5 linked regions of the Oryzias latipes genome follow. The protein of the gene in region 1 purifies or fractionates together with the protein of each later gene. This does not show direct contact. Links are inferred from orthologs where the notes say so. Each region holds a gene or a part of one and is shown in the gene's direction. Other genes may lie near its edges. The genes, in order: mark2, mtcl1, arhgef2, utrn and fuca1.

The links.
Region 2: the proteins of mark2 (region 1) and mtcl1 purify together in Homo sapiens (affinity purification with mass spectrometry; 5 studies listed by BioGRID and IntAct, with this or other methods). This does not show direct contact. The link is inferred for Oryzias latipes from reciprocal best matches to the Homo sapiens genes MARK2 and MTCL1.
Region 3: the proteins of mark2 (region 1) and arhgef2 purify together in Homo sapiens (affinity purification with western blotting; 3 studies listed by BioGRID and IntAct, with this or other methods). This does not show direct contact. The link is inferred for Oryzias latipes from reciprocal best matches to the Homo sapiens genes MARK2 and ARHGEF2.
Region 4: the proteins of mark2 (region 1) and utrn purify together in Homo sapiens (affinity purification with mass spectrometry; 4 studies listed by BioGRID and IntAct, with this or other methods). This does not show direct contact. The link is inferred for Oryzias latipes from reciprocal best matches to the Homo sapiens genes MARK2 and UTRN.
Region 5: the proteins of mark2 (region 1) and fuca1 purify together in Homo sapiens (affinity purification with mass spectrometry; 3 studies listed by BioGRID and IntAct, counting the BioPlex papers as one, with this or other methods). This does not show direct contact. The link is inferred for Oryzias latipes from reciprocal best matches to the Homo sapiens genes MARK2 and FUCA1.

The regions. Positions count from the first base shown.
Region 1 is NC_019876.2:13,072,006-13,078,656, reverse strand, and holds the start of mark2 (serine/threonine-protein kinase MARK2), read left to right. Parts: upstream 1-2,525; 5' UTR 2,526-2,761; exon of another isoform or gene 2,762-3,794; 5' UTR 3,795-3,815; coding exon 3,816-3,863; intron 3,864-6,651. UniProt on the Homo sapiens protein: Serine/threonine-protein kinase. Involved in cell polarity and microtubule dynamics regulation. Phosphorylates CRTC2/TORC2, DCX, HDAC7, KIF13B, MAP2, MAP4 and RAB11FIP2. Phosphorylates the microtubule-associated protein MAPT/TAU.
Region 2 is NC_019875.2:4,636,475-4,643,185, forward strand, and holds the start of mtcl1 (microtubule cross-linking factor 1), read left to right. Parts: upstream 1-2,571; 5' UTR 2,572-3,008; coding exon 3,009-3,806; intron 3,807-6,711. Other genes in the region: rab12 (ras-related protein Rab-12), read left to right, coding at 495-602. UniProt on the Homo sapiens protein: Microtubule-associated factor involved in the late phase of epithelial polarization and microtubule dynamics regulation.
Region 3 is NC_019874.2:32,693,826-32,700,386, forward strand, and holds the start of arhgef2 (rho guanine nucleotide exchange factor 2), read left to right. Parts: upstream 1-2,106; 5' UTR 2,107-2,205; coding exon 2,206-2,262; intron 2,263-6,561. UniProt on the Homo sapiens protein: Activates Rho-GTPases by promoting the exchange of GDP for GTP.
Region 4 is NC_019882.2:8,816,518-8,822,562, reverse strand, and holds part of utrn (utrophin), read left to right. Parts: intron 1-1,171; coding exon 1,172-1,309; intron 1,310-1,647; coding exon 1,648-1,761; intron 1,762-1,956; coding exon 1,957-2,112; intron 2,113-2,338; coding exon 2,339-2,509; intron 2,510-2,596; coding exon 2,597-2,788; intron 2,789-2,897; coding exon 2,898-3,032; intron 3,033-5,203; coding exon 5,204-5,353; intron 5,354-5,530; coding exon 5,531-5,692; intron 5,693-5,902; coding exon 5,903-6,034; intron 6,035-6,045.
Region 5 is NC_019869.2:24,115,542-24,121,586, forward strand, and holds part of fuca1 (tissue alpha-L-fucosidase), read left to right. Parts: intron 1-4,017; coding exon 4,018-4,152; intron 4,153-4,993; coding exon 4,994-5,131; intron 5,132-5,213; coding exon 5,214-5,319; intron 5,320-5,403; coding exon 5,404-5,604; intron 5,605-5,741; coding exon 5,742-5,932; intron 5,933-6,045. UniProt on the Homo sapiens protein: Alpha-L-fucosidase is responsible for hydrolyzing the alpha-1,6-linked fucose joined to the reducing-end N-acetylglucosamine of the carbohydrate moieties of glycoproteins.

The DNA.
Region 1 (6,651 bases):
TACACTATACTTACATGTTTGTAATTCCAAGTCAAACTCATCTTTAAAAAATAAAGCTAGACCCAATAAAAAAAATAAGTAAAATGTCAAGAAAGTCAGAAAAGGGATTAAAAAAAACCTTCCACTTATTTAATTTAAAAAAATACAAGAAGTAAAATTCAAATTAACTAACAGGAAATTTAAATGACCAAACACGGAAGTGAATTTCTAATGAACTACTGCCGCTCTGCAGAATAGATGTCCCAAAAAATGACACATGTTTTTGGATTTTGTCTAAAAACGGCACGATGTGTATATTTTTATAATTCTATTCAATTTCCTCATTCTTGAGCTCTGCCTTTTAGTCACATGCCTCGGAATGAGACGGTGAAATCAGGACATTGTAGTCAAATGCTTCATGGGTCCATGATCCCCTCAAACACAAACAGAATGATTTTTGACACAAATGATAGAAATGCTATAAATGTTTAAAAGACGGATATCAAACACCCGATGGTGTGTACAGTTGGCCCGGATCAGCAGGGGGAAACATTGACTGCATGTCAATAATAACTGGCTACACTGCCAAATTCATTTGGCACCGTGAAGGGGAAATACAGAGCTTTAAAGCCTGTCGTTTTTCTTTAATGTTCATCCCACAGGACTTGAAATCCTCTGAAATTGGCTCTAATTAAAAGTCTGTTCAACTAGTTATAGAGATAGATGTGTAATATCTTCATTCATCCTGCAGATGGCGACACTTTCACAAAATTTCCGTAGCAACTAAACTATTTTTTGCTTTAAAAAAAAGGGGGGGGGTTACACCATAGAATTGTGATGTTACTGAATTTGCATGCTTTTGATCATTAAAAAAATTGTCTTTAAGTTCAAAAAAGGGTTTGTTGTTCCCTGCAGTGGAATACCTGCCCTTGAGGACTCTCCTTTTATCATGATGGAAGCTGATTTTCCCCTTGATTCATCTGGAAATCCTGGATTCTAGTCTCTCTGACTTCCTCTTTGCTTCCTGATTGTTTTTTTTTGTTTTTTGTTTTTTGCTGGTATCTTCTGTCACTGTGTGAGCATTTAGGATTATGACAGCACATCATCTGACATTACCAGTGTTTTATACATTGACACCCAAATCATCTTAGGCTGTTGCTAAGTAACTTGAACATGTCCATGGCTGCTGCATCTCACACTAGCGGATAACATGGGGGTATATTTACATTTTATTTTTAGTGCTGTGGTAGCAAAGAAGGCCCATAATTTGACTAGACTGCAGCGAGATAGTAGGAGTTCCATGATTCAACTACCTTTCAGCCCCGCCTGTGAATGGTGGATCTTAAAAATAGGCCACACTTTCGTCAAATGTTTTTCTGTGTCACTTCCATTCCTGGTGGAGTACCTTTAGTTATAACTACTTTAAACTAAACATGGCCCCTTAACACTTTAACTTAATAAATAGGACATTTTGTAAAATCCCTCCCCCCTTTTTGTTTTGCCTTGAAACTAAACAGGCTTTGTGAAAAAAGAAGAAACTCAAAGAGTGACAATAAAAAGGGAACGAGGAAGTGACTTTGCTATGCAATGCATCTGGCATTTAAATAATTGTAGGTCTGAAGAGGAAACACTGCATCTTTACGGGGTTCACATTTTACCATGCAGAAATGGGAACTAAGAAGTTAAATATACCTCATTCACATTTAGTAAAAAATGTACTTTTAATAGAGCCTTTAAAACAATAAATATCTAATAAAGTAAAGTCCTAATAAAACTACTCAGCTACAGTAGGTTGTATTTATTTAGTCACTTTTTTGTTTTTAATATTTATCCAGTTTATTCTTGGTGTGCACAAAAACAATGGCACAATATATTTAACCAAAAAAATTCACTACAAATTTAAAAATAAAAAGTATGATGTTATATATTGTTAGAGTAAGAAATACGAAAAATAATTTATTAACAATTTGCCAATCACCTTTTTATAAAAACAAATCACACAGTTTTAATGTAATCCAAACAGGGGATTGTGTAACGAAGAGAATATTCTTTTATCTACAGCTAAATAAAAAAAAACGTTTCAGCTGATTTCACGAGTTAAGATAATTAATTTAGATTTATGGTACTGTTTACTTTTACTTTAGTTACTATTTGAATATTTACTTGATGGTTTATTTAATTTTTAATATAACAGATTGCTTTTGTTTATTTCTTCTACATAATAATAATATGTTTAATATATGATATATTTTAAATATTTATATATTTCGCTTTTATTTTGAAAAATGATTAAAAATTTGATTTAACCCTACATATTTTCTACCCCAGTAACTGTGACGTAAATGGCCGAAAAACTAGACTATAATAATTAGCATATAGAGTCAAACAGCAATAAATTGAATAAATAACAAAAATATGATTCCACGGGGCCTTCAGCCTACATCCACGTCTGCACCTGCCGATCCTAAAACGGAGGGAAGGGCAGTCAGTCAGTCAACGGCAGAGCCGGAAAATACCGAGAAAAGCCGAACGCAGAATTCCCTTCCTCTCTCCACTCAGTCGTGGTGCAAGCAGCCATGTTGCCGTGAGCTTGTTCCGGTATCAGGGCAGGATCGTGCGCACAGACGGCATTCGGGCACAGCTCATCGCCTTCTGCCTCTCCCGCCCCTGACACGCATCTCCGAACAAGAAAATCCAACTTCTCCAATAATGGATTGTACAACCTGATGATTCCGTCTTCGGGTGGCTGGGATAATAGTCGGCGTACCGACTGGACGAGCTGGTATATAGCTACACTGCAGTGCAGCACTGGTGGACGACCTTATTCCGATCACGCAACATAAGAAGGATTTCTGCGGTTTCCGTGGATTTGGAGTTTTTGCGGGTCGCTGTGTGGCAGTCGCCGCCGCTGCGGTCGCCGGGGATCAGCTAACCAGTTAGCCTTGCCTTGTAAAAGGACCGCTAAATTGGCTAGCTACATGGGCTAAAACCGTCAAACCAGTTAGCCAGCGCAACAAATTAATTTGGGGCTCTAAACCTACTATGCTGCCACTTTCCAAATTTCTATCTTTATTTTTCAAAGCCATTGCTTCGGGAATTTAACTTGGAATATTTCAATTGTTTTCCAGACTTGGGAAGGTCGAGACGTGACCGGGAATAACTTTGGCCTGAAAGTTTGTAGACACCGAACCTGGCTTCGAACCTAAGGAAACGTCTGAGCCACAAATAAGTCAGACAGACGGACGACGTAGTTTTGTTTTTGAAACATAAAATATATACATAATTACAAACATATATATGTATATACATGCTTTATGATAATTGGGGCCTTAATCGGACAGTTGGCTACCTTTAGGTTAGCGTGTTAGCCACCTAATTGTACCTTCAACTCAACCGTTGCCCAACTTTTTTTCTTTCCTTTTCAAGATAGCATAGGTGGCTAGCTGGTTCGACCATCAAAAGAAAAAGATATTAAACCCTATAGCACTGTCTGTTCAATTCTGAACACAGTTTGAATGGTTTTAGATACCCGCTAAACTGGAAACCTTTTGATTATCTTGTTTTTGTTCGTTAAGAAACATGGGACTATCAGTCGCTAGTACTAGCTAGTTTCTTCTAGCTAGCCGGCTAACTCCTAGCCTCGGATGAGGACTGGACTTGTTGATTCTCGGGGATATCTGTCATTCTTCTGGCTGGATAACACTGCACATCTGTCGGACGTTTCCCTCTATCATCAACTCCACGGGTGTTAGATGAACAAGAGACACTGACAGATCTTTATATTGCCTCGCTATTTTTTTCTTCCATCTTTTTAGAGCCCCCAAAGTCTTTAAAACATGTCAAGGGTCCCGCTGTTGCAAGTCATTGAAAACTCGACGGGGCAGGTAAGATTGTCATATTATACGAAGCAACATTTATGTTATAAACATTATGCTGTATATGTGGGTAGAGGCCCGACTTGGCCTTCATCGGTGTTTGGTTTTTCTCGGTCGGTCTTTCCTTCGCCACAGCAGTGATTCACCAGTTTGCCTACGCAATTACACTGGATTTCCCACTGCCTTTTAGCCCTTCAGGGCAGATTTGGGAAGCTGTTTAGTCTAAGTCTGATTCTTGGACGTCTTGCTGCTAGCCTTTTTTTTCACTTTAAACTGATCTTCTGACATTGCTTAATATTTAATATTCCAATTTACATAGCTTGAAGCTCTCTCTCCGAATCTGCAGCATTTATTTTTTTAATTGAAGTGTCTGAACAACATGAATTTGAAAATGTATGCTTCTTCTAAACTTTGATAGTGGAATTTTAGATCATATAGAGTAGTGGTGCACATAATTTGTGCTGGATTAAAAAAAAGAGAGAGAGAAATATCAAATTGGACTTCTTTTAGCTTAAAGACCCAAGATGGAAAATGTGTTTTTGGTGTTCTTGTGGCATTTTTCACATGATATAGTAGAAAATAGAGCTTAAAGTTGCATTTCTGAGTATTTATTAATTCAAATTGTTGTGAATCACAAGCAGGTGACAAAACACAGTTTAAAAATGAGCGTATTTGAGATGTAGACACATGTTGGGTGGGCCACAAGCTCCCTCCTTTGCTCCATTTTTGATGAATCCACTTGGAGAGATCCAAATATGTCTTTGTTTTCCTCATCCGCGGTGGCATCTGGCTTAAAAGTGTATAGCTCAAATATTGCTTGCCATCTTTGTTTTACTGGTAATGTTAGGTCGGGAGTGTGTTGGGCTGTAAACTAGCAGGAGAGCAGGAAAACGGAGAGCTCTCAGTTATGGGTGATGTTAAAGGGGGCGGGGTTGCTCTGTGACAATGGTCTTACTCACAATTCTTTGGCAAATTTCTAATGGATTACTGCTGTTCTGCAGAAACTTACCTAGAAAAAAACAGTTTAAAAAACAATTAGGCTTAAATGACATACGGTAATCATATTCAACACTAGGAGCGCTTTTAAAATAGTTTTAAAAATGATCGGTCTTTGAAAGGTTGGCATTTTGAAAAAGTTCATGATTTCAGCTAAGACTCTCCCATTAGTACAGATCCTTGTGCAGTACTACATTCTAAGTTAAACACTAGGTTTTTGTTTCCCCCCCAAATTTATCAAAAAAAGCTACTTGAAAATGGGTATTTTCAGTATTCACAACCATTTTCCTTTAGAGCTGTAATTTGCAATCTGTGTCGGATCTGCACTATTTTCTAAAAAAAAAAGCTTAGGTTTAATCCCCATATGAGTTTTTTCTTTTTAAATGCATGTCCCTCATGCAACAGTTTAGCAAGTAAATAAGTCTAATATGTTCCTAAAGCAGAACATTACACTTCCCATGCTTGGATTTCTTTTTGCTCTCTTCTGGTGAGGATTTTAACTATTTTTTTTTTTTAGCTTGTAGCTTAAAATGATATTGGAACGTTTATAAAGTGTATAAAAATAGATTTAAACCAAATAAAACTTCTAGATGACTAAAAGGAGGGGATCTTTATTAACCTTTTTTTTTTGTGAAACCACAGGTGGATTATCTGCAGATAAATGGATGTCAGGAGTCAGTGTGAGGGCAAAACTGCCACATTTCACAATTGACAGTGTAGAAAAAGAAAGCAGGTTGACGCTCAGCTGATATGAGGGCGTAGTCATAACTCTGAACATACAGGGAGGGACAGATGCTTGTTGGCGCATAGCTGCACCCTTATGGGAAAATAAAAGGTAGGAATGAAACTTTTAACGATGCAATTGTTGGTTTAAAGATTTATTGTACACTCAGAGTATGTTCACAAAACATTTGGATCAAAACTCACTGCAAATAGTTATAACGTACAGATTTATTATTCCAAGTGTCACATTGAGAATAAATCACACCTTTTAGTTCTTCTTTATAGTTTAAAGACTGATATTTGACTGAGAAGTGACAGCAAGTGGACATATGCAATAAACACCAGGTCGTTTCATTTTAGGACAATCATAAAGCAGGAAAGCGTACATATTATATGAACTATATGAAACTTTTTCTTGACAGACTACTGGCTTGACTGGGACTAAATTGAGTTTTTGTCTTGACTTAAAGTTAGACCTCAGCTGGAAAAAGTCCAAATCTTTTTTTTTCTTTTTAGCTTGGTGTAACTCTTCCATATTTAAGTTAAAAACTGAATCCCCTCTTTTACTTCTTTTCTGAAGCAACAACCAAAGTGATTGGTAATATATTAACAGATAAGGTGCTTTGATATGCCAAATTTTTTTTATTGTATTAGATTAAAATCCCTTTAAGATAACATATAAAAAAGAGTTGTGTTGATGTTGTTTCCTCAGTTAACAAGTTAACAGTCCTCTAAACCTGTGGCACTGAAGTAGAGCCATGTGGGCTTTCACAGTGCCAAATTTAAACCTAAACCGTGTCGGTACAAACACCTCCTAACAATTCTGAAGTACAGAAGTGATGAGGAGGGGGTGATTTTGGTTGTTTTTTTTAAACTTTTTTTTACCAGTCAACTGTAAAGTTTAAGTGAAATAGAATCCTCCAACAGGACAATCATGAGAACACTATCAAATATACAACCGAATGAGGGGAAAAAGGGCTCAAAGTCCAGACCTCACCCTGATGGAAATCAGTGTCTTATAACATCTGTTCATTAACAAATGTCTGTTGTCAAGTATTGAACTGAAACAATAAGCTAA
Region 2 (6,711 bases), on another chromosome or scaffold:
CAGGAGCAGATGAAAAAAGGCCGTTTGAAAATTAATTTCAAGTTTTCCTGCTCTGCTCCATTCTGATCATCCACCTGCAGACAAACGGATCCACGAACGTCTTTGTGGTCCTGGTCGGAGCTGGAATCTGGATCACAACTGGATCACTCTGATTATTATTACTTTCAGGTTGTGAGGGGCTGTAAGCTAGTGGGAGAGGCTGTAAATGGGTAGATGATAGGAATTGGAGCCGTTGGAGTTGAGTTTTATCCACAACTTGGAGGAGAATGTCTGAACTCCTGCCGCTCTGCAGAAACTATGTTCTAGAAAAACACAACAGGTTTTGGATTTTGGCTGATGATTATAATTAAGACAGCTGGGAACGCTTTGAAAATAGGTCAGAAGACGATCAGAGCGCGACTGTGAGAAGTCATTGTGTGACCTGTTGTGGGAACTGTCGTGCTTGTTGCTTTCGTGTGCTGCACTAAGTTGTGTTTCTGCTCCTGGTTTTGCAGATGCCTCTGGAAGTTCCCAGCAAGGAGCTGTCCAACAGCGTTCTGTCCCTGCAGCCGGAGCCGGAAGTACCGCCAGAACTGCCCCCGCCCCGCATGCGTTGTTGCTGAGTCTCTCCCATCATCCCTCTCTCACAAAGCACATAGAAACCCCAGCGTGCAGTGGACACGTGGCTCCACTGGGGGGCGACACACAGCAGCTGTGTGGATGGTTGAAGGCTGCTGTAAATGATGCATGAACTGTCAAAGCAGCAGTATTATCTTCCTCCGTTTCTCTTCTCAGATATGCAGCATACACTAACCTTTAGGCCTGGAGATTCTTCTTTATCCTAGTACCACCTCACTGTCTACATGTGACCCCGACTACCTCATTGCATCGATGGTTAACCCAGCTGTGCCTGCATGTGCCTTCCACATAGAGAGCTCTCCAGGAAAAGTTGCACATTTTCTAAGGGCAGTAATATCCTTCTCTCTCTTTGTCTCCACATCTTGTCCAAGTTAGCCCGGCGCATCACCTCTGGAAGACAGAAAATAAAGAGAAGTTTACTCTCTGGGTTCACAGCTGAACTACTTTATATACAGATGAACATTCTTTAAGTCATTTGGGTTGAAGGAAGCGAAACACACCGTAAACATGCCGTGGTGCCATGATGACCCACAGAAAAAGGGCCTTGTTTTTATTTTAGTGGTGATTCTAACTTATTCCGTTTTCTAGTATCTGTAACTGCTATATATATATTTTTTCCGAGGATGTCATATTTGACACTAGAGTCTCTCAGTGAAGGGGGAGAACAGTTGTAGTTTAGCACCCTGAAGATCAGTGCAGCCTCAGCAGAGAGTGAGGCTCAGAGTGAACTGGAGACGCAAAGAGAGATGGGTAATGTAGGCTGGAGCAAGTAACCCTTCACTACCTGAGGATGTGGAGAGGAAAATCAAGTGCACATCTCTTTTTTCTTTATTGTGACTAATATTTCTGTGGTGTTTGTGTTTTATTGCTAAACTCCAAGTTTCCTTTTTTGGGGCAAAGTGCAAGGCGGTTTTGTTCAGTGTTCGACTCAGGAAACTTGAAAAAAGGCCTGATTGTTTTTTTTTTTTTTTTTTTTTTTTTGAGGACGGGCTCAATCAAGTCCGAGTGTTGAATCCAACGAAAGGTCTGGTTTCTGGGACGTGGCAGCATTTCGTATTCAAGTGCCAGATTTCATACAAATACACCCCCCACCCACCCACCCACCCTCCTCCATGCAGTCCCCCAAAAAACTGCAGAAACCAGATCAGCTCTGTTGAGTCATGTCTGATAAAAAGACGCTCCTGCAGAGTCTTTGAATGAAATGTTTTTTTTCTGACGGCTGCAATGTTAAATCCCTGCTTCAAATGTTCCTTTACGGAGCGGACAGGAATTTCCTTCACGGTTTTCTCCCAACTGAGTCCATGTCTGACGTTTATTTAAACCCACTACATGGACATATATGTGCTATACTTCCTCCCGTGCTCTTAGAAAACAATAATCCTTCATATGTTTGTTGAGCTGTGGCATTTAGGGGGAGATATGATGTTAATGTAAATTTGATGGCCTAAAAAGACTTTTTTTATTGACGTTTTATGCTCAATTTTAGCTTTTAAAGGTTTAAAAAGGCACCATGTCCATCCAAGAAAAGGTTTTGTACCAAAATAAAATCCTTACATTTCTATGATTGGACTCAGTCAAAAGGGTTTTTGTAGAAAATCTAGAATTTTTGTTTTCAGAACAGGACCTGTCTGTCTTTTTGCTACTAACCCCTAAGTGTAACAACCAAGCCTAATACTACATCTGACATGCTTCGATCTGTATTCTTTAAAGGCGCAGACTTTACTTTGTATTAAACCTGTCTTCATTTTTTTTGTAATTCATGATGGAAAAAGCAGGTTTGTTGTATTTATAACTTTTTGGCATTCTGGAACTAATGAGATGCTATTAAAGATGTCTATATTTATTGCTAGACCGGAGTCTTTCATTTGCTGTGGGAATCTTCATCAACCGTGACGCGCGCTCTGAGAGGAAAGGCGTGCTCCGTTCTGACATGCGCAGCAGCGCGTGCGTGTCAAACCTGGTCCCGGAGTAAACAAGGGGTGTGCTGGCGGGGCCAGGGCGCATGCGCGCCGTAGGAGCTGACGAGCGTCGAGCCTCGCGCCGCAGTGATTGCAGAGCTTCACGGGAGCAGGAGGACGCGCGGGGATGGAGAGCCGGCCTGCGGAGGAGGAGGAGGAGCGCCGCCGCGGATCCGTCTGACCAACTTTGGCTCCTTCAGGCAGCGGATGCCACCTGTCACTCACCGGGTCTGCGCCGATTATCCGCGTTTACCGGCAGCCTTTCCTTCGAAACGGGACTACGGGGTCACAGCAGCCGGGATGGAGTGAAGGAGACCTCGCAGACCGCAGGATGCGCACCCCGGTGAGGAGGGGAGCAGCGAAACCGGGCAGCTTTTCTGCGGGGCCGCGAATTGATCGCTTCCTCCTCCACTCCGCTCCCGCCGGTGTATAATGGAGAGCTCCAATGGCTCCGGTGGCGACACAAAAGCGCACAGCCAGCAGCCGGAGAAGAAGAGACCGAACCGAGCGCCGTCCCCGGCCAGACCCTTCCTGAAGGATGTGCCGTCCCGCTCCGCCAAACCACCTGCCATCGGACCCAAATCCCCCAAACTCTCCAAGCAGCAGCAGCAGCAGTGCGCCCCAGTGTCCTTAGCCCACCAGAACCGCAGCTCCAGACGCAGCACAGCTGGGTCCAAGGAGAAACCAGCCACAGTCAAAAGTAGCACCAGGTCTGCTGCCGCGAAAAAGCCCGCAAAGCCGCCCCAGCACGCAGCAACCGAGCCCAAAGCCGCCAGCACCAAGCCGGACACCGCTGGCAGTCCGGTCCTCACCAAAGGCAAGAAGGGGAAATTACCCGCGGGTTCTCCGGGCCCGTTCAGCCATGGATCCCCGATCCGGGTCCCCACAGGGGCCCGTCTGGCCCGGGTCACTCAGACCGACAGCAGCTCCGACTTGTCGGATTGCCCGTCCGAACCGCTGTCGGACGAGCAGAGGGCGGCACCTGCCGCAAGTAGCGACGCGGAGTCCGGTACCGGCTCCAGTGACCGGGACCAACCGGGAGCGCCAGCCGCAGCGCCGCCGCGCACGAGCGACTCTCCCGCCGCCAAGGGAAGCGCGCGCGCACAGGACAGCAAACCGGAGAGCGGCTCCGCCGGCGCACAGGTCAAACAGCCCGCAGCCAAGGAGGTGACCGAGGAGGATCTGCAGCGGGAGATCGAGGATCTGAGATCTGAAAACGACTACCTCAAGGTGCGTGGCTGCCGTCTCTCAACAGGTTCACGCAGTCAGTCAGTCAGGTGCATTCAACCCCTAAAGTTAGAACGGACTGTTTTTATTGTCCTTCAGACAAACTCCTGAAAATGTCAAAACAAGCATCAGTTTAATCCTGAGGGATTCCCCGCAGATTCGACTGTTTCCTCTCAAAATCAAACTTTTCACATCTGACAGTCTGCTGGCTCCGTGGATGTGGGAGGGTATTAATAGTTTGATGTTCTGGGTTCAGATATGAACGCATCTTTATTCGTCAGGAATCTGTAAACTCGCGCTCTGCGTTTCTGGTTCTTTTCCCATCTTTCAACTCTAAAGTTGAGGAGAGTTTATCAAAGACCAAACCTCCTTTTTGCCAGATGGGACGTGAATGTATTTGCATAAGACTGATGAGAGTATTATTTCAAACGTGAGCTCGCTCGAACGCGCGCGCGCATGTCTGCTGGGCCTTCCTCCCTGGTTTGGTGGAGACACAAGAGACTTAATCAGCTTTGCTGGCTCTGCTGTGATGGCTTTATCCCGCAGGAGTTGATCACATTCACATGTCCCATGTGTGGGGGGCTCAAACACCCTCCTGCCTGGTTGTCAGTCTGCCAGCTGGGTCTCTTAGGTCCTTCTGCTCCCCCGTGCAGCCCCCCCTGCCCACAGAAAACAAGGCCACCCCCTACTGCTGCCCTCTCTTTGAATGCAAAAACGTGTTTGCCATCCTTCCTGCAGATTTTGTTTCTTAAAAAAGAATAAAGTGAAGATGGATTTATTCTTAGTTTGTCTTTTAGGTTTCACTGTAGAAAAACGTTGATTTGATAACCTGCAGGTGATTATCACCTCACCTATTATCTGTGTGCAGGCAGATAATCAATTAACTGATGAGTCAGTCCAGTTCTTTCAGAGCAGCGCTAGACTAAAATGTACAGCATATAAAGCTGGTTGTTTTTGAAAACCTGTTTAAAATAAATAATTCAAATGTTTGAACTGACAGTTATGACAGCAGAAAATCCTTTTAAATGTTTCCCTTTGATCAATAAGCTCTACTTTATCATAAGATATTTTTGCATTAAATAATTTGAACTGCTTTTGCAATCCAGAATCAACAAACTCTAGCTTTTCTCAACAGTTTAGCAGGTTTCACAGCAAAAAAACGAAAGCAGTTTTTTTTCCTCCAAATTATTGAAAATGTTAATATTTGTTAATTTAATTTAGAACACACTTTTCCTTTCAAAGGAAGCCTAAAAGCGATCTCTTATTTCCCTCAAATAAATAAGAAAAAACAGATAAAGCTGTTTCACAAATTAGAAAAACATTTCTGTCCTGTGTCTTTATAAAGACCCACTCCAATGAGGAAAATGGTGTTTTTGGTGTTTTTAACATGTTCTTGGAGCATTTCTCTCATGATGGATGACATATATGAATAAATATATAAATAGCATTCCTTGGTATTTCTTTATTCAAATTGTGAATCAGGAACCAATGAAAAAAATGCAGTTTAAAAAGATTGAAGCTGTGACATTGAAGCTTCAAGTCTTCCTGCTCTGCTCCATTCTGATCATCCACCAACAGATCATAAACAGATCCATGAACGTCTTTGTTTTCCTCGTCCCAGCTGTAATCTGGATCAGAGCTCTATGGCTACAATATTGCCCACCGTTTTTCTTGCAGCACTAATGTTAGGTTGGGGTGTAAGGATTGTAAGCTAGCGGGAGAGCATGTACACAGATGGATGATGGGAAATGAGGGCAGACTTAGTCCTGTCCACAACTCAGAGGGGAGTTTCTGATGAACTCCTGCCGCTCTGCGGAAAATAACACTTTTTAAAAGTTATTTTTGCCTAAAACAGCATGCTCATAATTAAAAGACCACTGGGAACGCTTTGACAACAGATAAAAAGATGATGGGAGTGGGACTTCAACGTCCAGCATGCAGTGACGCCTAGTGGCACAATCTGTAATATGGAACCAACTGAATATTTTCCATCTTCTACATCAGTGTTTCCCATCCCTGGTCCCTGGGGCAGACTATCCTGCATGGTTTCCATGTTGCCCCGCCCATGCACACCTGATTCATCATCGGGCTCTGCAGAAGCCGGACAATGACGGTCATCAGAGGCTGGTGTGTCTGAGCAGAGCTGGATTGAAAAAATGCAGGACAGTGTTCCCTGAGGACCAGGGTCGGGAAAAACTGTTCTACACAAAGTACCAGTTGACTAAAACTAGCGTAGACCCCAAGTATGCATTCAGCCAAAACTTATATAGTTTGATATAATCAGTTGTGGCCCTGCGACAGACTGGCCACCTGTCCAGGGTGTCCCCTGCCTTCACCCACGAGTGGCTAGGATAGGCTCCAGCAGCACCGTGACCCCGAAAGGGAAAAAAACGGGTTTACAAGATGAATGGATCAAAAATTAGTTATAGCATCTGCTAAGTGGAGATGAGGACACTATAAAGAGTGGTAAAGAAGCAGCTGTGAGCCAGCACCCAGCGTTTACGAACATCAGGAGTATTGTTTGCACACACCTGCTCCCAGGAGACCGCCAGGTCTGTCTTTGCTTTTAACCTGCCCATCGATTGGCTCGACCTTGTGAGAGGTCGTCAGCTCCTCCCCACGGGGCCCAGCTGGGATCTCAACAGCCCATGTGGGCTTTTCCAAATGAGGATAGATTTACTTTTCTTTAATGGACATACTCTTTCCTCCATTTATGGATCCAATTGTTTTTTTCATCAGGGGCCAGTCAAGCTTTTTAGAATATTGATCCCTCAGAAAATGTGTGGTCCCCTCATGGTTGGAGGCACAGATGCGGACAAAGTCAGACTTGGATGTCGCAGGCAGAATGAAACATATGAATGCACCCAACCCTGGAGATAAGATGCTTACAGGCATCTAGTATTGTTAC
Region 3 (6,561 bases), on another chromosome or scaffold:
TGTCTTTTGTGGAAATGATGTAGAAACTGTGGAACATCTTTTCTTTGAATGTTTTTATGTAAAAGAGTTTTGGTCTTCTTTTCATAATTGGCTTAAATCCAAATATATCATCATTGACCCTATAAATTGGAATACCATTAAAATTAAATTACAATTAATTCACAAAAATCTGGACTTTCTGATTGATGCACTGATTGTAATTTCAAAGCATTTTATTGATACTTGTAAATTCTTAAAGGTGAAACCTCATATTAATGGATTACTCAACCGTCTCAACCTATTCTCTAAATCTTTACATTACATGAATCATAAGAATGCCCAGACATTGTGTAATTTATTTGATCTATTTCAACTTTTGTAATAGATCCTTATTTTTGTTGATTATTTTTTAAGTTAGATTTGTTTTCATATTTGTTTTTTTTGTCTACCTTTGTCTCAGAATTGATATTGTTGTCATTGACAGACATGCCATGATTGTTTGTTGAATATTTGCTTCAATTTTAAAAAAAAGAAAAACTTTTTTGGGTGCATTCCCTGCGAGCGCCACAAGGGGTGCTCGTGGGCGAAGTATTGTTTGTGCCACTCTGCCTTCTTTTCTAAGCATTGCATTTAGACCTAATCTTCTGTCTCCTGACCTTGTGTCTGACTCCGCCTGCCCCGACTCTCGCCTGGATCCTGACTACCCCATCTGTCCTCTGATGATCTCATGGCTGTTATTGACCCTGATTTAGCTTTGTGGACTTTCAACGGAGCTAACAAACCTGCTGCATTTGGATCCAGCTGTCTGCCTGTTTTTAAGAAAGAGTCGTATCATCGGCGAGCTGACTTCCGACAATAGATTTATTAGCGATGGAAATCCTTTGTAATGGACTGGATTTAATGTGGCAACAGAGAAACAGAGCTACAAGGAGAAATAGATGGCGATATAGAAAATCCCTTTCTAATTCCACGTTTTATATCAAACCTAGGTGATGATTCATTCATTCATCATTTATTCATCTTCTTAACCGTTTATTCCCTTTCGGGGTCACGGGGTTGCTGGAGCCTATCCCGGCTACTTGGGCGTACCTACCAACCTAGGTGATGAGCCAGATTTAAGTTTAACAGAGCAGGTGGCTTTGTTGTAAAGAGTTTTAATGACTTTGCAGAAGAAGTCACCAAAACCAAATTTTTGTACAGAACAATCCAGGAAGTTATGTTCTACTGTGTCAAAAGCCTTAAATAAGTCCAGAAACAACATAAAGGAGTCATCTGCAATTAGATGATTAAATAAGTACATCCAAAACTAAAGGAATATTATTGGCGATATGTTGCTAGAGTTACCGTTTGGGTGAAATTGATAGGAGTGTAAACGGGTTTATGAGATCTCAGGTAGAAAAATGTTAAGTCCCTGTGAACACAGATGGGCTCACCTGACAGAAAGTCAGTGGAATATAATCTTTTTATTACACTATAAATACATCTTATCAACAGAATCCAAGAATGAATATTCCATTTTATACATAGATGTCATCCAGTAAAAGATGAAGAAACATGCACAGGAGAACATGCTAACTCCACACAGAAACGTCCCCCTTTGGTGGGACTTGCACCGGGGATCCTCTAGATGTGACTAAAAAAAAACGTTCTCTGCGCACAGATGCGCATGCTCAGTAATGTCCCAGCTTCATTACCAGACCTGTCCGATTCTTTGTGCCTTCACGTGCGGAGGTGTAGGTTCGTCCTCCTCACCTGCAGCCCCCGTTTTTGTCCAGATGGGGCGGAGTCGATGGTGGAGTTCCACGTCACATGCTTTCTGCTGTCCACCCCTGAGTGGGGAGGGGCGGGGTCGCTTTCACCGCTCTGTCAGGGATTTGGTCATGACCAGCATGATCTCTTGGCGCTCTAGAATAGGCTGAAGCAAGTCACGTGACGCAGTGACACGTCTTTCTGAGGATAAACTCCACCCACCCTTTCACCGGCGTAGACGTGTGTAGGAAACGAGCGCTCCTGAGGCATCTGGTGGGCGGGTCCTGCGTGGTTATCAGTGACAGGATTGGCTGAGATAGTGGGGAGCGGGCTGAGCTCTCATTTGTCAGTGTGAAAAGCGGAACTGTCAGTCAGAGCGAAGCCCCGCCCTCCGGCTCTGAGCGCGCGCGGCTCCGGCGGCAGGATCCGCAGAAAGAGTTTGTGAGGCGGCCCCGGTGTGAGCCCGAGCTCGTGAGGATGTCGCGGCTGCTTGAGAACCGGAAACAGGACAGAATGAAGGAGGTCCTCTTAAAGGTGAGGAGGCGCGCGCGCGCGCGGACCTTCACGCTAAGGTTCGCGCGCGCGCGCCTGCTGAGACTCTTAATGATGGGTGGGCTTTTTTTCACATCTGGACTCAAGCAGGAAGACACGCGGAAAGTTTGGAGCTTCAGAACGCGCCCCGTCAAACGCTTCCCTCGTTTTGTGGAAAGAGCGCGAGGTGCGAGCTCATGCGCGTGTGGCGATGTGTTCAGAGAGTTCGCTGTGCGCGTGCCCGTTATTTTACCGGGTATCAACGCCAGTGAGCGCGTGGCGCTTTGTCCTGCAGAAGGAAGCGACGGGGGGAGGGGAGCGCGCGGCTGCGCTTGCGTGCACGCATCTTTCAGGAAGTGTCCAGGAGCGAGGTGGATGTGCACGCGCTCATGGTGAAGAAATAACGGAAACTCCGTCGCCAGGACGACAACGAATGTAAACAAAAACTCTTCCGGCGGTGGAGGAGTCATGGTCGGGGTCGTTTTAGTATGAAATGTGCTTTTTCAAAATAAAACATTAAAGACACAAACTCAAAGTTTGACTTTTAGGCTGGAATCAAAGAAAGAAACATTTCTGTCAACGACAGACGTTTAGTTTGACAAATGAAGCCAAAGACCAGATCTGTGGTGATAATCCAGATTATTATTCTGTCATCACCATTACTGTAAGCAACAGATTACATGGAAGGAGTTTTCAGTGTTTCATCTCCACACGGAGGAAACTAAAACCAACGGTTACTTAAAAAGTAATGTGGTCTTCATCAGTGACAATTGTGATGAAGCGTGAATTTAGGGATTAACTGTGATTGTAGGGATTACCTGTGATTGAAGGGATTACTTGTGAGTCTATAGATTACCTGTGATTGTAGGGATTACCTGTGATTGTAGAGATTACCTGTGATTGTAGAGATTACCTGTGACTCTATAGATTACCTGTGATTGTAGGGATTACCTGTGATTGTAGAGATTACCTGTGACTCTATAGATTACCTGTGATTGTAGGAATTACCCTGTGATTGTAGGGATTACCTGTGACTCTATAGATTACCTGTTATTGTGGGGATTACCTGTGACTCTATAGATTACCTGTGACTCTATAGATTACCTGTGATTGTAGGGATTACCTGTGACTATAGATTACCTGTGACTCTATAGATTACCTGTGATTGTAGGGATTACCTGTGATTGTAGGGATTACCTGTGACTCTATAGATTACCTGTGATTGTAGGGATTACCTGTGACTATAGATTACCTGTGACTCTATAGATTACCTGTGATTGTAGGGATTACCTGTGATTGTAGGGATTACCTGTGACTCCATAGACTACCTGTGATTGTAGGGATTACCTGTGATTGAAGGGATTACTTGTGAGTCTATAGATTACCTGTGATTGTAGGGATTACCTGTGATTGTAGAGATTACCTGTGACTCTATAGATTACCTGTGATTGTAGGAATTACCCTGTGATTGTAGGGATTACCTGTGACTCTATAGATTACCTGTTATTGTGGGGATTACCTGTGACTCTATAGATTACCTGTGACTCTATAGATTACCTGTGATTGTAGGGATTACCTGTGACTATAGATTACCTGTGACTCTATAGATTACCTGTGATTGTAGGGATTACCTGTGATTGTAGGGATTACCTGTGACTCTATAGATTACCTGTGATTGTAGGGATTACCTGTGACTATAGATTACCTGTGACTCTATAGATTACCTGTGATTGTAGGGATTACCTGTGACTCTATAGATTACCTGTGACTCTATAGATTACCTGTGATTGTAAGGATTACCTGTGATTGTAGGGATTACCCGTGATTGTAGGGATTACCTGTGATTGTAGAGATTACCTGTGACTCTATAGATTACCTGTGATTGTAGGGATTACCTGTGACTCTATAGATTACCTGTGACTCTATAGATTACCTGTGATTGTAAGGATTACCTGTGATTGTAGGGATTACCTGTGACTCTATAGATTACCTGTGATTGTAAGGATTACCTGTGAACACTGGCGCTGCAGGTGAGAGGGACAGCAGATGGACAGGTGAACTGACGTCAGAACCCGGTGGTTCTGGTTCTGGTTTCAGTCCGGCTGATGCTTTGGTGGTCGTCACGCGTGTGTGGTTGTACATGTGCGTGTCCAAAGCCGGGTTGGTTTGGTGCAGAGTTCTTCATCCCGAGGAGGATGAGTGCAGCCGGCGCTCACTCCTACGCCCGTCTGAGGCATCCATCCTGTTGCCATGGATACCTGCTGGTTGCATCTAAGTTGTCCTCCCACACACACGTGCACGCCCACGCTCGTGCGCTGACTAAATATGTGGCCAAGCGTTTATGTTTTTACAGCTGACAGAGTTTAGTGAAGGTCCGATCAGAGCAGAAGTTCTGGATCGATCCGGGAGCAGAACCTGAGCCCCTCTGGCCCCTCTGGCCCCCGTGGCGGTGATCCGTCCGTGACCTTCTGTCATGGCGCTCAGACGGATCACACCTCCGCCACAGCAGAAGCTGTGAGGCTGTCAGCGCTCGCCCCACAGGAGGAAGTACGTCCAGAGCGGTTCTGACTTCTCTCAGCCAATCAGAGAGCTCCACACAGGTGACTGTTCACCTGGTGGGCGGCTCAGGACCTGCCGTTTCTGGCGGCCTGTTGGCTCCAGGATCAGGTTGTGGGGTGAAAGCTGATCGTCGTGTGTCTGCGGCCCCGTCCTCAGTGACTCCGCCCCTCCCCTGCAGACAGAGCGCTCTTTCTTCGCCTGCATCACTGAGCTCTTTCTCCATTGATCAGCTGATCGCTGACTGTCACCATTCACCGGGGCTGCTGGGAAGCAGGTTTCCCTGATCCAGAGGGGATCTGGAGGCAGTCTGATGGTGATGGGTACGGGGGGTGGACCGCAGGACAGGTCAAAGACTGGGTCTGAGCGTGCTCAGAGCAGAAATTCAGGAACAGCAGCGCAGCCTCCACTTCCTGCCTCTCCCAGCCAGAAAGCAGAAGTTCAAACAGCCATCTTAGCTTCTACACGACTCACACTTCAGGCTTTCTACTTTCAACCCCAATCAACGGTTCCCAGAGAGTCCAGAGTCCCTGACGCCGGACCGTCCGGCTCCAAAGCCCACCGACCAGCTGCTCTCCATGAGCAGACCTGGTGTTTTAGGCTGCTGGAAGGTCCAGTCTGCCTGAAGTCCTGCAGTTTCAGGAATGAGGCTGCTGTTGTCCTGCTGGTTCTGTTGGGTGGCCGACAGGACTCACACCACATACAAAAGAAGCAACGCAACGGCATTACCCCCAACACAACCACACAACTGCAGCACAACGGAAATGAGGACTGTTTTTTCCTACCGCCGGAAAAAAAAGCCTTTGTTGGCAATGACAGCCTGAAGTCTTGAACTCATGGACATCAGCAGATGCTGGTTTTCTACTTCTGAATGCTCTGCCAGGCCTTTACTGCAGCGGTAAACAGTTGCTGTTTGTTTGTGGGCCTTTCTGTCTGAAGTTTAGTCTTCAACAAGTGAAATGCTGCTCAATGGGGTTAAGATCATGTGACTGACTTGGCCATTCCAGAATATTCCACTTCTTTGCTTTAATAAACTCCTGAGATGCTTTGGCTGTATGTTTTGGGTCGTTGTCCATCTGGATTATGAAACGCCGCCCAATCAGTTTGGCTGCATTCACCTGGATCTGCGCAGACAGGGCTGCATTCACCTGGATCTGCGCAGACAGGGCTGCATTCACCTGGATCTGCGCAGACAGGGCTGCATTCACCTGGATCTGCGCAGACAGGGCTGCATTCACCTGGATCTGTGCAGACAGGGCTGCATTCACCTGGATCTGCGCAGACAGGGCTGTATTCACCTGGATCTGCGCAGACAGGGCTGCATTCACCTGGATCTGCGCAGACAGGGCTGTATTCACCTGGATCTGCGCAGACAGGGCTGCATTCACCTGGATCTGCGCAGACAGGGCTGCATTCACCTGGATCTGCACAGACAGGGCTGTATTCACCTGGATCTGCGCAGACAGGGCTGCATTCAGCTGGATCTGCACAGACAGGGCTGCATTCACCTGGATCTGCGCAGACAGGGCTGCATTCACCTGGATCTGTGCAGACAGGGCTGCATTCACCTGGATCTGCGCAGACAGGGCTGTATTCACCTGGATCTGCGCAGACAGGGCTGCATTCACCTGGATCTGCACAGACAGGGCTGCATTCACCTGGATCTGCGCAGACAGGGCTGCATTCACCTGGATCTGCGCAGACAGGGTTGCATTCACCTGGATCTGTGCAGACAGTCTGTCTCTG
Region 4 (6,045 bases), on another chromosome or scaffold:
CTAGCCCCACTGTGGCTACATAGTTGGGCAGTGGCATGAAGGGTCTTGCCCCAGGGGCCCATTTGACTTTTAACAGTCATTTGAAAGACCTCGGCCCCAACTGTGCTCAGGTTTGAGATTAAATACAAAGTGAAATGCTAAGGTTTATAAAACTCACCCTCATTTTAGCTGCCATCAATTTTAAATCTAAACGGATGGGCAGAGGTTTTTAGAATCCCACTGCAAGTTCGTTCACCTTTATCACCGTACTAAGGTTTATCATTTTAAAGTGAACCTAAGAAAGAAATTCCAACTTTTCTGCAACAGGCCCTACTTGTTGCAATAACAATAATAATAATAATAATAAAAATAATAATAATAATAAAGGCATTCCCACAAAACAGGTCAAAGCATTTAGGCAAAGATACTTTTTTTAGTCCATTCTGAAGGTACAATTGATTTTAATTTGTCCAAACAGACCATTTTAACTTGAGAAGAGGAAGGTTTGAAGTACATTGGACTTTTTTAGACAACAGAGACACCTTTGATCATATCTAATGTCTGACAGAACTGCACTGTCAGGCTATTTTTTAGGGATTTTTTTTGCTTTTCATGATATCACTTCACTGTTTGTCCCCAGTAAACAACATGTCACTTTGTTACCATGGGAGAAGGGTGCATTGTGTGTGTTTACAACACTTTCTGTGTTTTTGCATGCAGTCCTGAAAGTATGTGGTGTTTTGTGTGTTTGCTCACCTCCTCAGCTCTGTGCTGGAATGTGAATCAGTCTGCAGCCTCGTTTTCATGACAGACAGGGGCACAGGGCCGGGTGGGGAGGCACATTCTGGGCAGCGTGCCCGTCCATGCAACTCCTCAAATTTCTCTGTGGATTCTGAAAAGCTGCCAAGCTGCCTGATACCACAACATACAGGACAATACTATGATGGCGTGTCTGAGATCACTTTATTAGTCCGGGGGGATGCTGGTAATGGTCTGGCTTCATGTTCCAGAACAAAAATTAACTTTACAGTGTTAGAAAGCCCAATCAGTTCAATAAATATAAAGAGTACTCATGAAAACCTAAAAACAATTTTTTTACTCGATGCTCACATTTTTCTTTTTTTTTCTTTACCTTTTTAACGAAAGTTCTATTTTTTGGGTGATCCTAAATTGTCTGTGGTTTGCCCTTTAGAGCTTGTGCCTGCAGATTGAGCAAACGCAACAAGCGTCTGATTCAGGAGAACTACAAAAATGGAGTCAGCTCTCCTCCAGGGCACGTGAGGAGCATGGCACGTTGCATTGCATTTTGGGGTGCATGAAGGACAATCAGGTGGGGCAGCTTGAAACACTAAAATGGTAGTGACTGATGATTATTTTTCACCTTTTCTTTTTTAAAAAAAATGAAAAAGGCATACATATAGAAACTATTTTTTCTTTTAAATTAATAAAGGGGAAACTAAGTTTAAATATAGTTGTATTTGCATTTTGCGAATTATTTATCTGTTTGTATTTTTGCAATTTATTCTTTTAGGGTAACACCATTGTAATTTACCCCACAAAAAATGAAACGTTTCCACATTTAATGCCAATAAATGTAATGTGTTGTGTTAGAAAAATATGTAGATTCTCCTTACATTTTAAAACTCCTACAATACTTCTTGCACTTAGGTGTGTTTGGAGCAAGTGCAGTGCTGGTTTGATGCCGTTCAGGAGTTGTTGTTTCGGGACACCACAGGTTTGGGAGATGGAGAGAATCTCCATGAAGAGCTGAGCAGGTGCAAAGTAAGAACATTAAAGCATTTTTGAATCTCTTTTAGTTTTTGAAGCAGAAAAGGAGTTTTTTTTTTAATCAAAATCTGCTTTTAAGAATTAATGTTTTAATAATTACACCTTTTGCCTAAAGTATACATTTTTGGAGTGTTTTTCTGGTTCTTGTAGTCCATAGCAATATCAGAAGCTTCTTCTGTTTCAAACTAGGAGTATGTGAATGAGATGGAGTCAGTGGAGCGTTCATTGAAGCAGATGGAAGAAAATGTGAAAGCTGTGCAGGCGATTGCAGTACCAGGACTTGCAAAGTGGGGGCAGGATAGGTTGGAAGAGTGTCAGGAAAGGTGGGCGGAGCTGAGCGCACAGGTGAGAACTTTTTCTTTTTATTTTACTTTGTCTTTAAATGGGAGAGGTTGAGTCTCCTTTTGAAATTTGTGTTGCATAATTTAGTCATAGCAGAAACTGCGTAGTTCCCTCTTCAGACTCGTGTTAGTATCTGTTAATTGCAGCTTGATTTAAGGTGGTGTCAGCGCTGGAACTTTTTTTTTTTGTTATGTCTATCTATAAGGTGCATTTTTGTGTTTTCCTTCAGCTCCTCAGTCATCAGGAACATACTGCAGAGAGTCAGGAGAAGCAGGTCAACCTGAAGAAAGACCTGGGAGAGATGCAGGAATGGATGGCTCAAGTTGATGAAGAGTTTCTGATGAGAGATTTTGAGTACAAAAGTCCAGAGGACCTGGAAGTGTCTCTGGAAGAGATGAAGGTGGGATTGGTCGTGTCAAATTTTGAAGAGTTAAGCCTTTGGTTTTTGTTTAACCCCTTTCTGCTGTCCTCTGGTGGGACACCATAGAGAGCTAAAGAGGATGTGCTACAGAAAGAGGTGAAGGTGAAGATCCTGAAGGACAACATCAACACGCTGGTGTCCCGAACAGCTCACCTTGGTGATGGCTTTGGACAAGAGCTGACCTTTGAGCTAGAAGGGGTCCTGGCCAACTATAACAAGCTCTGTGACCGTCTCAAGAGCAAATGCCACACCTTGGAGGTTTTTTTTAAAATCTCTATTCTTGTGGATTTTAAAGTTTTTCTATGTGTTGAGGCTTCAAAAATGTTTGTGGATAACATTCCTGCTCACGTTGGGACGTGCTCTTCAGGAGGTGTGGTCCTGCTGGATGGAGCTGCTTCAGTTTCTGGACACGGAGCAGAGCTGGCTCACCTCTTTGGAGGAAAAATTACATGCAACTGAAAACCTACCAGAGAGCACAGAGGCTGTCAATGAAGCTCTGGAGGTATGTCCCCCCCCCCCCCAAATCCTGCTTTTGGGACAGCCGTTTCTATGAAAGTGGGAATTACATCCTAAACTTTGACGGATGCTCCATGCTTGAAAGCAATTTTTATCTGTACAGAAATTTATTTAGAGTCCCACTGCGATCATCCTTGATCTATTGTAAAAGCTTTTTAAGGATGCTGCTTCTGCAGAGAGTAGTTCATTAGAAATGCAGCTCTGAGTTGTGAGTTGGACCTGTGGCGCGGAGCAACCCCGCCCTCCCTTCCCCTCTTTGTTACTGAGAGCTTTCTGTTAAAACGCTTTCGCTAGCCTACACACCGACTTTGTGACGCTCGTCAAAGAACGCGCTAAACACGCTTTCACACTACACGAGCAAAGAGGGGCTTTTACTGTTTACTAGTGCATGTCCGCCACTTACAACACAAGAGGCTTGGTGTGAAAAGTCGCAGCCAGCGGTGCAAATCGCGCAATTTAGAGACAAAACTGAAACAGTTCGGATCATTGTTAGCACCTTTGCATTGGGGGATATGGATGACAATCATGTCAGGAGATTGGCCTTGGTCTGTCCTTGTCTGGGTTCGCCAGAGAAACCAGCTACGCTCTGATTTGGTGAGTTTCACCATGTCATTACCAAATCAGAGTCACTGATAGGTCAAAGTTCAACCTGGAATATCTGGCAACGAGTGTTAAATTGCCACGCGTTGTGTACGTAGAGAAAAGGGTCATAGAAACTTGCATAGCCATGTGTAAATGCAAGAGTTTTGAACGCAGAAGCTTGAAATGAGCAATTATGCCTGTTTACATAGACATTTCATTGGAAGTAGCCGCTAGGGTGCTCATTACCAAGGGCGGTGTGAACGTAGGTTAACCTTCTTCGTGAAAATTATGTTTTTGTTGTTTTAACATGTTCTTGTGGCATTTTTCTGATGATGGAGGACTTATTTAAAGAAAACTAAACTTAAAATTGAATTTCTGAGTAACTTTATTCAAATCAATCAGGAGCAGATGAAAAAAAATGCAGTTTGAAAAAGAGTTTTTGAGATCACAATCCTTTAAGAAGTCACATTAAAATAAGGACACACTGTACATTCAAAAGAAAGGAAACCTAAAGGGTACCCCATAGCGGAGCAAAAACGGTGTGTAAGCCAGAATTGGGACACAGTGTTATTATCCTCCCCGAAACTATACAGTAGAGCAGGCACAGTTTGAAAAAGAGTTTATTTATGAGGTAGAAAATACGCCGGGCAGGTCACAAGCTCTCTGCTCCAAGCTCTCAGCAACGGGAAGAGGGGCGGTGTTGCTCCGCACCAGTGTTCCCCTCCCACAACTCAGAAGCCATTTGCTTATGAACCACTGCTGCTCTGCAGAAGCTATGTCCTACAAACACAGGCGTTTTGATTTTGGTTAAAAGCAGAAACATTTTCAAAACCCCTTAAAAATGTAGACAAATAATTTTCATGAAGAGACCCGTTTCAGGCTAAAAAGCAAAACTGATAGGATTAATAAAATTGGAAAAGGAAGAAAGGAAGATTTTAAAAGTCGTTTGGGTTCGCAGAAACTTCAGACTAAACATGCATGACGAGTTTTCCACAACTGGATGCTTAAATGCTGTTACTAAATGTTAATGACCTAATTTGTCTTTGATTTGTCTTCTGCTTTGACGTGCTCCATTGCTAAATCTGTAGACTGCCTGGGGCGCGTCTGTCAGACTCATTTTCATCACAGAGGGGCATCTGCAGCCTCACATAGCGATGAAGGAGACCAAAGTCCCTCGCAGACAGAGTTTCACCTTCTTGTCTGCGTCCCATTGGTCCCCCCCCCCCATCTTTTCTTCTTTCCACCAATACTTGGGGCGAAAAAGTGAAGCTACAAAAACAGTGTTGGATCCAAATATGAGGTGTCGCTCCACAGCTCGCTCAGTTCACTCCTCCTCTTTTTTTTTTTTGGCTTGTCTTGTTTTTTTTTTTTATTGACAGTGCGGCAGTTTCTGCCTCCACTCTTCATCCTTTTTTCAGGGCTTTTGCTCAGTCTGCAGTTTTTTTTGTCGTTAATCATATTTTAATCATATTTTTTGAAGGACAACATTTTCTCCTTTTTTTACATTCATAAAAAAAAAAAACTATTGTTGTGTTGTGAGTCTAGTCTGACCTGTCTGCCCGTTTCTCCTTCTAGTCTTTGGAGGATGTGCTCCGCCACCCTGGGGACAACCGGACACAAATCAGAGAGCTGGGTCAGACGCTCGTAGACGGCGGCATTCTTGATGAACTCATTAGCGAAAAACTCGAAGCTTTCAACTCGCGCTTTGAGCATCTCCACCATCAGGTCAGAACAGTTTTCTCTTCTCTTGACCAGAACTTAATTGACTCAATTTGTTTTTTGAAAATGTTTCGTCACATTTTCGCTGTCACAATATTCCATTTCAGTAAAAGTTAATTTTTTTTGTAAGGACTTGTGACTGACTCGCAGCCCTGCCTTGCTCCTTTTGTTTTTGCCCTTCAGGCAGTGGACCGACAATCGAGCCTCGAGCAGCAGCTGCAGACATTGAAGGAGAATCAACAGGCGCTCCAAAATTTCCAGGAGTCTGTAAGCCAGCTGGACCACACTCTCACCTCCTATCTTACCGATCGCGTAGACGCCATCCAGCTCCCTCAGGAGGCACAGGTGCAACACACATGCTCACAAATACCTACTTTTAGGAGGCATGGATTTTGTTGGATGGTTATAGTGGGTTTCTAATCCCAAAAGAATGAAGAATACTACTATGTGGTAAATGGAATACAGTTTTGAGATCACTGTAGGTTATTTTCTGCATCAATACTAACCATTAATTTGGACAAGATGTCTCTTTTAACATATTTCTCATTCCTTTAGTCCATCGCCGCTGAAATTGCAGAACTTGAAGTGACGATGGAAGACATGAAGAGGAGAAATGTGTTCAACCTGCCTCCTCCCGCGGCAGATGCCAAAGCAGCTCGCGGTGGCACCATGTTGGATCAGCTGCAGGTAATGCTGCC
Region 5 (6,045 bases), on another chromosome or scaffold:
AAAGAATATGCTGATACACTAAAAAAAACAAAACAATAAATAGTCGATCTTCTACTGTTTTTGTCCCGCTGAGACTTTGAGGGCTGCAGCTCCTCACACGGCTCACAGTTTGCGCTAAAACTGAGCAGCTGTGTCCTGCACGTCTGTTTCTCAAGCTGTAATAATGACAAAAGCTAATTTCTATGTCTTCTGCTGCAGCTACGCATTTATCTGCATTACCTTTTCACCAGTACAGAGTTCCCTCATTTATGGCAGGGGTGACATTCTAAAAATAACCCGGGATCGGTGAAATCCAGGGCGAATGATTACAGACTTTTCTCCGACAGACATGAACATTTTCACCCTTTTCTCTCGTCTAAATTTTCAAAACCTTCATAGAAATTAGGTCCAGGATCTTAGAATGAAAACAAAGATCTGATCGATCAAAGATTTCTGATCTGAAGAACTCCGCGTTTCTGCACAGGAGACATGGTACGGAGGAGATTGATTGACAAGGTCTCCAGCCAATCAGGACACAACAGGGTGCGCTGTTGAAAAAGAACAGCATAATTGCTCTAAAAGTATGAAAATGAACTGCGACGTAGAAAGGGAAGACTGTCTTCTGTTCTGTTTAACAGGGATTTTAGAGGGTTTCAGGTTGGAGCCCAGACTGCAAAAGGGGGGAATAAAATGTTACATTCTATGTGGGTCTTGATCGTGTGGCCAGATAAAAATAAAAAACAGGTCTCTGATATTATTCAGTGGGCCGGACCAAACATGGAGGCGGGCCGGATCCATCCCGCGGGCCGTAGTTTGCCCACCCCTGATCTAGAGCTTTATGGCATTTTTGATAAATTCCAGTCTGGTTTTAGATCACGTCACAGAACGGAAATGGCTCTACTCAGGGTGTGCAACGATTTGCTTTTAACTGTGGATTCTGGAGCCTCTGCGGGGAGACCCTTCTGGATCTACTTGCTGCATTTGACACAGCTGATCATGATGTTTTACTTTATCGATTAGAGCAGTCTGTTGGCGTGAGAGGCACAGCACTTAAATGATTTGAGTCTTACTTATCTGATAGGAGTTTTTCTGTCCAACTTGGACAATTCTCGTCCACAAAGGCCCCACTTAGACATGGGGTACCTCAAGGCTCAATCTTAGGTCCTATGTTATTTCCGTTATACCTGCTTCCCCACTGGGTGCCATCTTTGATCAGTATAATGTGTTCTATCACTGTTATGCAGATGACATACAGATTTATTTACCAATAAAATCTGGTGGAGCCCAGTGTGTAGAGAACCTACAGAAGTGTTTAGAGGAAGTTAAAACTTGGATGAACCTAAACTTCCTCTGCTTAAATGAAAAAAAAAAACAACGGAAGTACTTCTGTTTGAGAAAACTGACCTTTTGACAGAATGCAGTAGTCCCAGTGGATCATTGTACTCTAACCTGTCTTCTATCAGGAATCTTGGGGTTATTTCAGATAGTAGTTTTAAATTTGATATATGTTAGTGCAGTAGTCCAGTCTAGCTTTTATCATCTCAGATTTATCAATACAGTAAAGCCATATCTCCCTCATGACACCCTGGAAAGGGTTGTTCATGTCTTCATCTTCTCTAGACTGGACTACTTTATTCTGGGATGGACCAGTCCCTCCTCCGCCATCTTCAGCTGGTCCAGAATTCAGCTGCCCGTTTACTAACGGAGACCAGACGGTGTGATCACATTGTCCCCATACCACGCTCTACACTGGTTTCCCGTTTATTTTAGATTCGATTTTAAAATTTTACTCTTGACTTTTAAGTGTCTGCATGGTCTAGCACCGTTCTAGAAATAAAAATATAAAATAGGACTACAACACTTAGCTTTAGGTTTAACATGTGTGTTCTGCCAGGTGGAGAAGTTAACAATTCTCTTATCAGGATGTCAGGATCGTTCCAAAAGGAGTCCGTTAACTCCGTGTAGAATAAGAATAAGTCGTTTTAAAGAGTTCCCACCATGCTGGTAACGTATCTTTAATATGAATAAATTTAAAGCAAACATACCGCTTAATGGAACTGCTAATGAATGGCAGATCTGATCTCTTCACGACTCTTCTACATCCATCGCTGAGTGGGCTGTTGGGTTATTATTCTACCATTTTAAAATATACTGTAGTCTATGAGCAAGGAAGACGTTGAGGTAGTTTGGAAACTAAACCACCATGAGATTTAGCATTTTTCAAAGTTTTTAAACCAATGGCTTATTTTTCCATTAAAGACGTGGATATGGATGTATCCAATGATTTAAACCACGTTGCAGCTGGTAGTATTGGGATAATAGAAAAAAGTTAGTTAATTTTTGGTAGTATTTTCATTTTAACTGAAGCTGTTCTGCCCATGAGTGATATCGGCAGGTTGACCCATCGTTTTAGGTTGTCCTGTACATTTTTAAGTAATGGTAGGACTGCACAGTATGCGATAATAGTGATCAAAATTGCGATGACGGTACATGAACAAATGGCAAAACAACAAAATACATCATTTACATTCAAATACAATGGTTTAATTAAAATAAGAGTCAACATAACTTAGATTGTACTCCAAATGACCCACGTCTACATAGGAGGCGAGAACCCAACATAAAAGGGGTCCATCTGTTTGTCAAATACATAAAGGTATTTATTTGATTCGGTAAATACTTCAAACTGCCATAAGATTGTTTTAACAAATTTAAGGTTACCATTTATAGCAATTTTTGCCAACTTCTGTGAAATGTGTATTGCGCAGCTTGATATCGTGATGATAAATTTGTAATTTGTTGTGCAGGCCTACTATAAGGTTTAATTGCACTAACTCTGATAGACGGGGTATGTGACACCTAGATATTTAATGTTCCCCGTCTTTAATGTTATAAGTTGGCTCCACATTACCATTGAGTGGTAATGGCACTGATCCAGTTAATAGTGTACTCAGAGATTGATGAAGTGTCAATATCTGTCACTGCTCTGGAAATTGAGAATTCAGAGTTTAGGAGCAAGAGCAATACATTGTCTGCATAAAGACTTATATTATGATGGATTTTTGTTTTGTTTTAATTGCTTCATTATCTTCACTCTGTCTTACGGCTGTCTGATTTTTTTTTATTCCTTTATTGCAAGTTATAAACTGACCAATCACATCCTTCAGTAAAAGCATGTGCTGTCAACTGACCCTCACGTTGAAAATTTGATTGACAGATTCTCCTGAGCCAGCTTTCAGTGGAAGGGTTGTGTACTTCTGACAAGCTCAGTCCTGATTGGCGACAGTAGGTGCTATAGAAACAGCAATTTAGACCAATCACTGCTGCCTGACTTTGTCCGGCTCCAAATGGAGGCGTCCGTATCGCTGAAAAATGGTGACTGAACAGACTTTGGTTGGAACCGGAAGTACTGGTTTCTACGGGTGATGTCACAGTCACTCAGTCCAGTTCTCTTATACAGTCAATGAGTGATTCGTTAATTTGCTTTTTTTAAGCTGCTTACTCACTTTCTAACTTTAAAGTTGCTTTCCAAAAAGAGAAAGTTTGTATTTTTCTTAAACTAAAGACCCACATGTGGCTCCAGAGCCTCGGGTAGCAGACCCCTGCACTATACTGTCAGAAGCCTCTGTCCAGATGATCAAACTGGAGAATTACTGTCATCGCCATGGCAACAGGCCTGAGACATAATCACCTGTTATGCAGGTGACAAAAATATATGGGAAGAACTGGGCCTGCATTCCAGTCTGGTGCTGTGACAGGAGACCCTTTTTAGGGATTTTATATCAATTCGTGGTCTTTGCAAAAGTTATCCACCTTCTACAAGGTTCAGTCTTTCTCCTTTTAAGTCCATATCATCTACACAGAGATCTGTACTGTTGCATCACTTCTTTTCTGCTTTACATTGCAGAATCAAAGAGGAAAAATGATCCGAACAGACTAGAATGCATCTGTTATCTGTGAATGAAAGACACAGTTGAAGTTCCATTGGTTTATGTGCAGACCCGGTTCCTTTGCTTCATCTTCCTTTTGCTTTGTCAGGTACGTCGTCCTCACTGCCAAACATCATGAAGGATTTACAAACTGGAAGTCTGTGAACTCCTGGAACTGGAACTCTGTTGATTCCGGTCCTCACAGGGATTTAGTGGGAGAGCTGGGAGAGGCCGTGCGCAACAGGTGGGTCATCACAGAAGTCATGTAAGGTTTAATGGCTGACGAAGTGGCGTTATCACTTTTTAATGCACGCCATGGAAGCCTGAACCGTCCGATGCGAAGCGGAGTAATAACGCACACTTCGAAGGCCATTAACCCGCTTATATCATGGTCACTTACAAAAGCAATACATATTAACCAGTTTTTAGTCCTTAATTCTTGTTTTTTTTCCCGATTTGGATCGCTTTTCTCCCAAAAAGCGGACTATTTGTTACGTGATGCGGTGCATGAACTAATATATATATTAGTTCAAATATATAAATGCTGATCATTCTGATGTGTTAAATAAAGCATCAGTTCAGAGAGAAAGTTCACCTCTTACCGCTTGTTCTTGTCCAAATGATGAAGCAAAAGGTTGTTTTAAAGAAGCCGGCGCAGTGATACAAAACATTTAAGCTAGGTGACCGGAACTTCTTTTTTCACCGTGCGGTTATCATGTTTTAATGCACACCCAGCAGCCAATCAGAATCGAGTATTCAACCGGACCATGGTATAAGTGACCTGAGAGCACAGATGTCAAACTCCAAGGCTCGGTGGTCGGTGTTTTTCACGTTTTCCAACTAACCTGCAATTAAAGCTCCTCTGCAAATCTCACGTTATCCAGGTAATCGGCAGCAGATTTTCCTAAAAATCAGCAGGATGCTGGATGCTGAGACTTGGAGTCAGACACTTCTGCCTTAGAGCTAAAACCTCTGGTGTGAAGATTTTCATTTGTTTCCAGTTCTCCAAGGTTTTTTTTTTACAACTTTTCCTGATACCAAAAGTGTTCTTGCATTCTTGTGAGGATTTACACATTTTTGTTCAGGTCCCTGCACTATGGACTCTACAACTCCTTATATGAGTGGTTCCACCCCCTGTACCTGAACGACAAGAAGAATGGCTTCAGGACGCAGGACTTTGTGAAGCAGAAGTTGCTTCCAGAGCTCTACAATATGGTTGTCAGGTGTGTCCTCCATCAGTCCAAGATCAACAGTGAAGTTTTGAAGCAGTCCCTTCATTAAACGCTCGGTTTCTGTGTCTTACAGGTATCGACCGGAGCTGATCTGGTCCGATGGAGACTGGGAGGCGCCAGACAGCTACTGGAACTCCGCCGAGTTCCTGGCCTGGCTCTACAATGACAGCCCTGTAAAAGTAGGTTTCTATACGATGTAGAAGGTGAGTGGAGTGACTGCTGCAAGGAGCATTGATCATGACTCCTCCTCCCCCTAATCCTAGGACACCGTGGTGACCAATGACCGGTGGGGGGCTGGCTGTGCCTGCAAACACGGCGGCTATTACAACTGCCAAGACAAGTACTCCCCAGGCCAGCTGCCAGAGCACAAGTGGGAGAAATGCACGTCTGTGGACACTCTGTCCTGGGGTTACAGACGGAATATGAGGATCATGGAACTCATGGACCTGCCCACCATTATTGAGGTTTGAGACTATTTAACCTTCAAGTCAAATCGATTGACTAAACCCTGCATCCTGGAAACACTCGACTTTATAACTACAAAAAAAGAGAATTTCTTGATTTGGTCATCGACTCATGAGTCCGCTCCGTTTGGTTGCAGGATCTGGTCAGCACAGTTGCTCTTGGGGGCAACTACCTTCTCAATGTGGGTCCCACGGCTGATGGAATGATCCCTGCCGTGTTTGAGGAGAGGCTTCGGGGCGTTGGAGCCTGGCTCCAGGTCAACGGAGAGGCCATCTACGCCTCCAAACCCTGGAGGGTCCAGATGGAGAACACCACTGTCCCAGTCTGGTAAGAAAAGATGATCCCGACACTCTAGAAACGTTTGGATCGAAACTTTTAAGCCTTTTCAGAAGACGTTGTGAAGTGAAAACAGTTTTCATTTCTCCAGTTTTTAATACAAC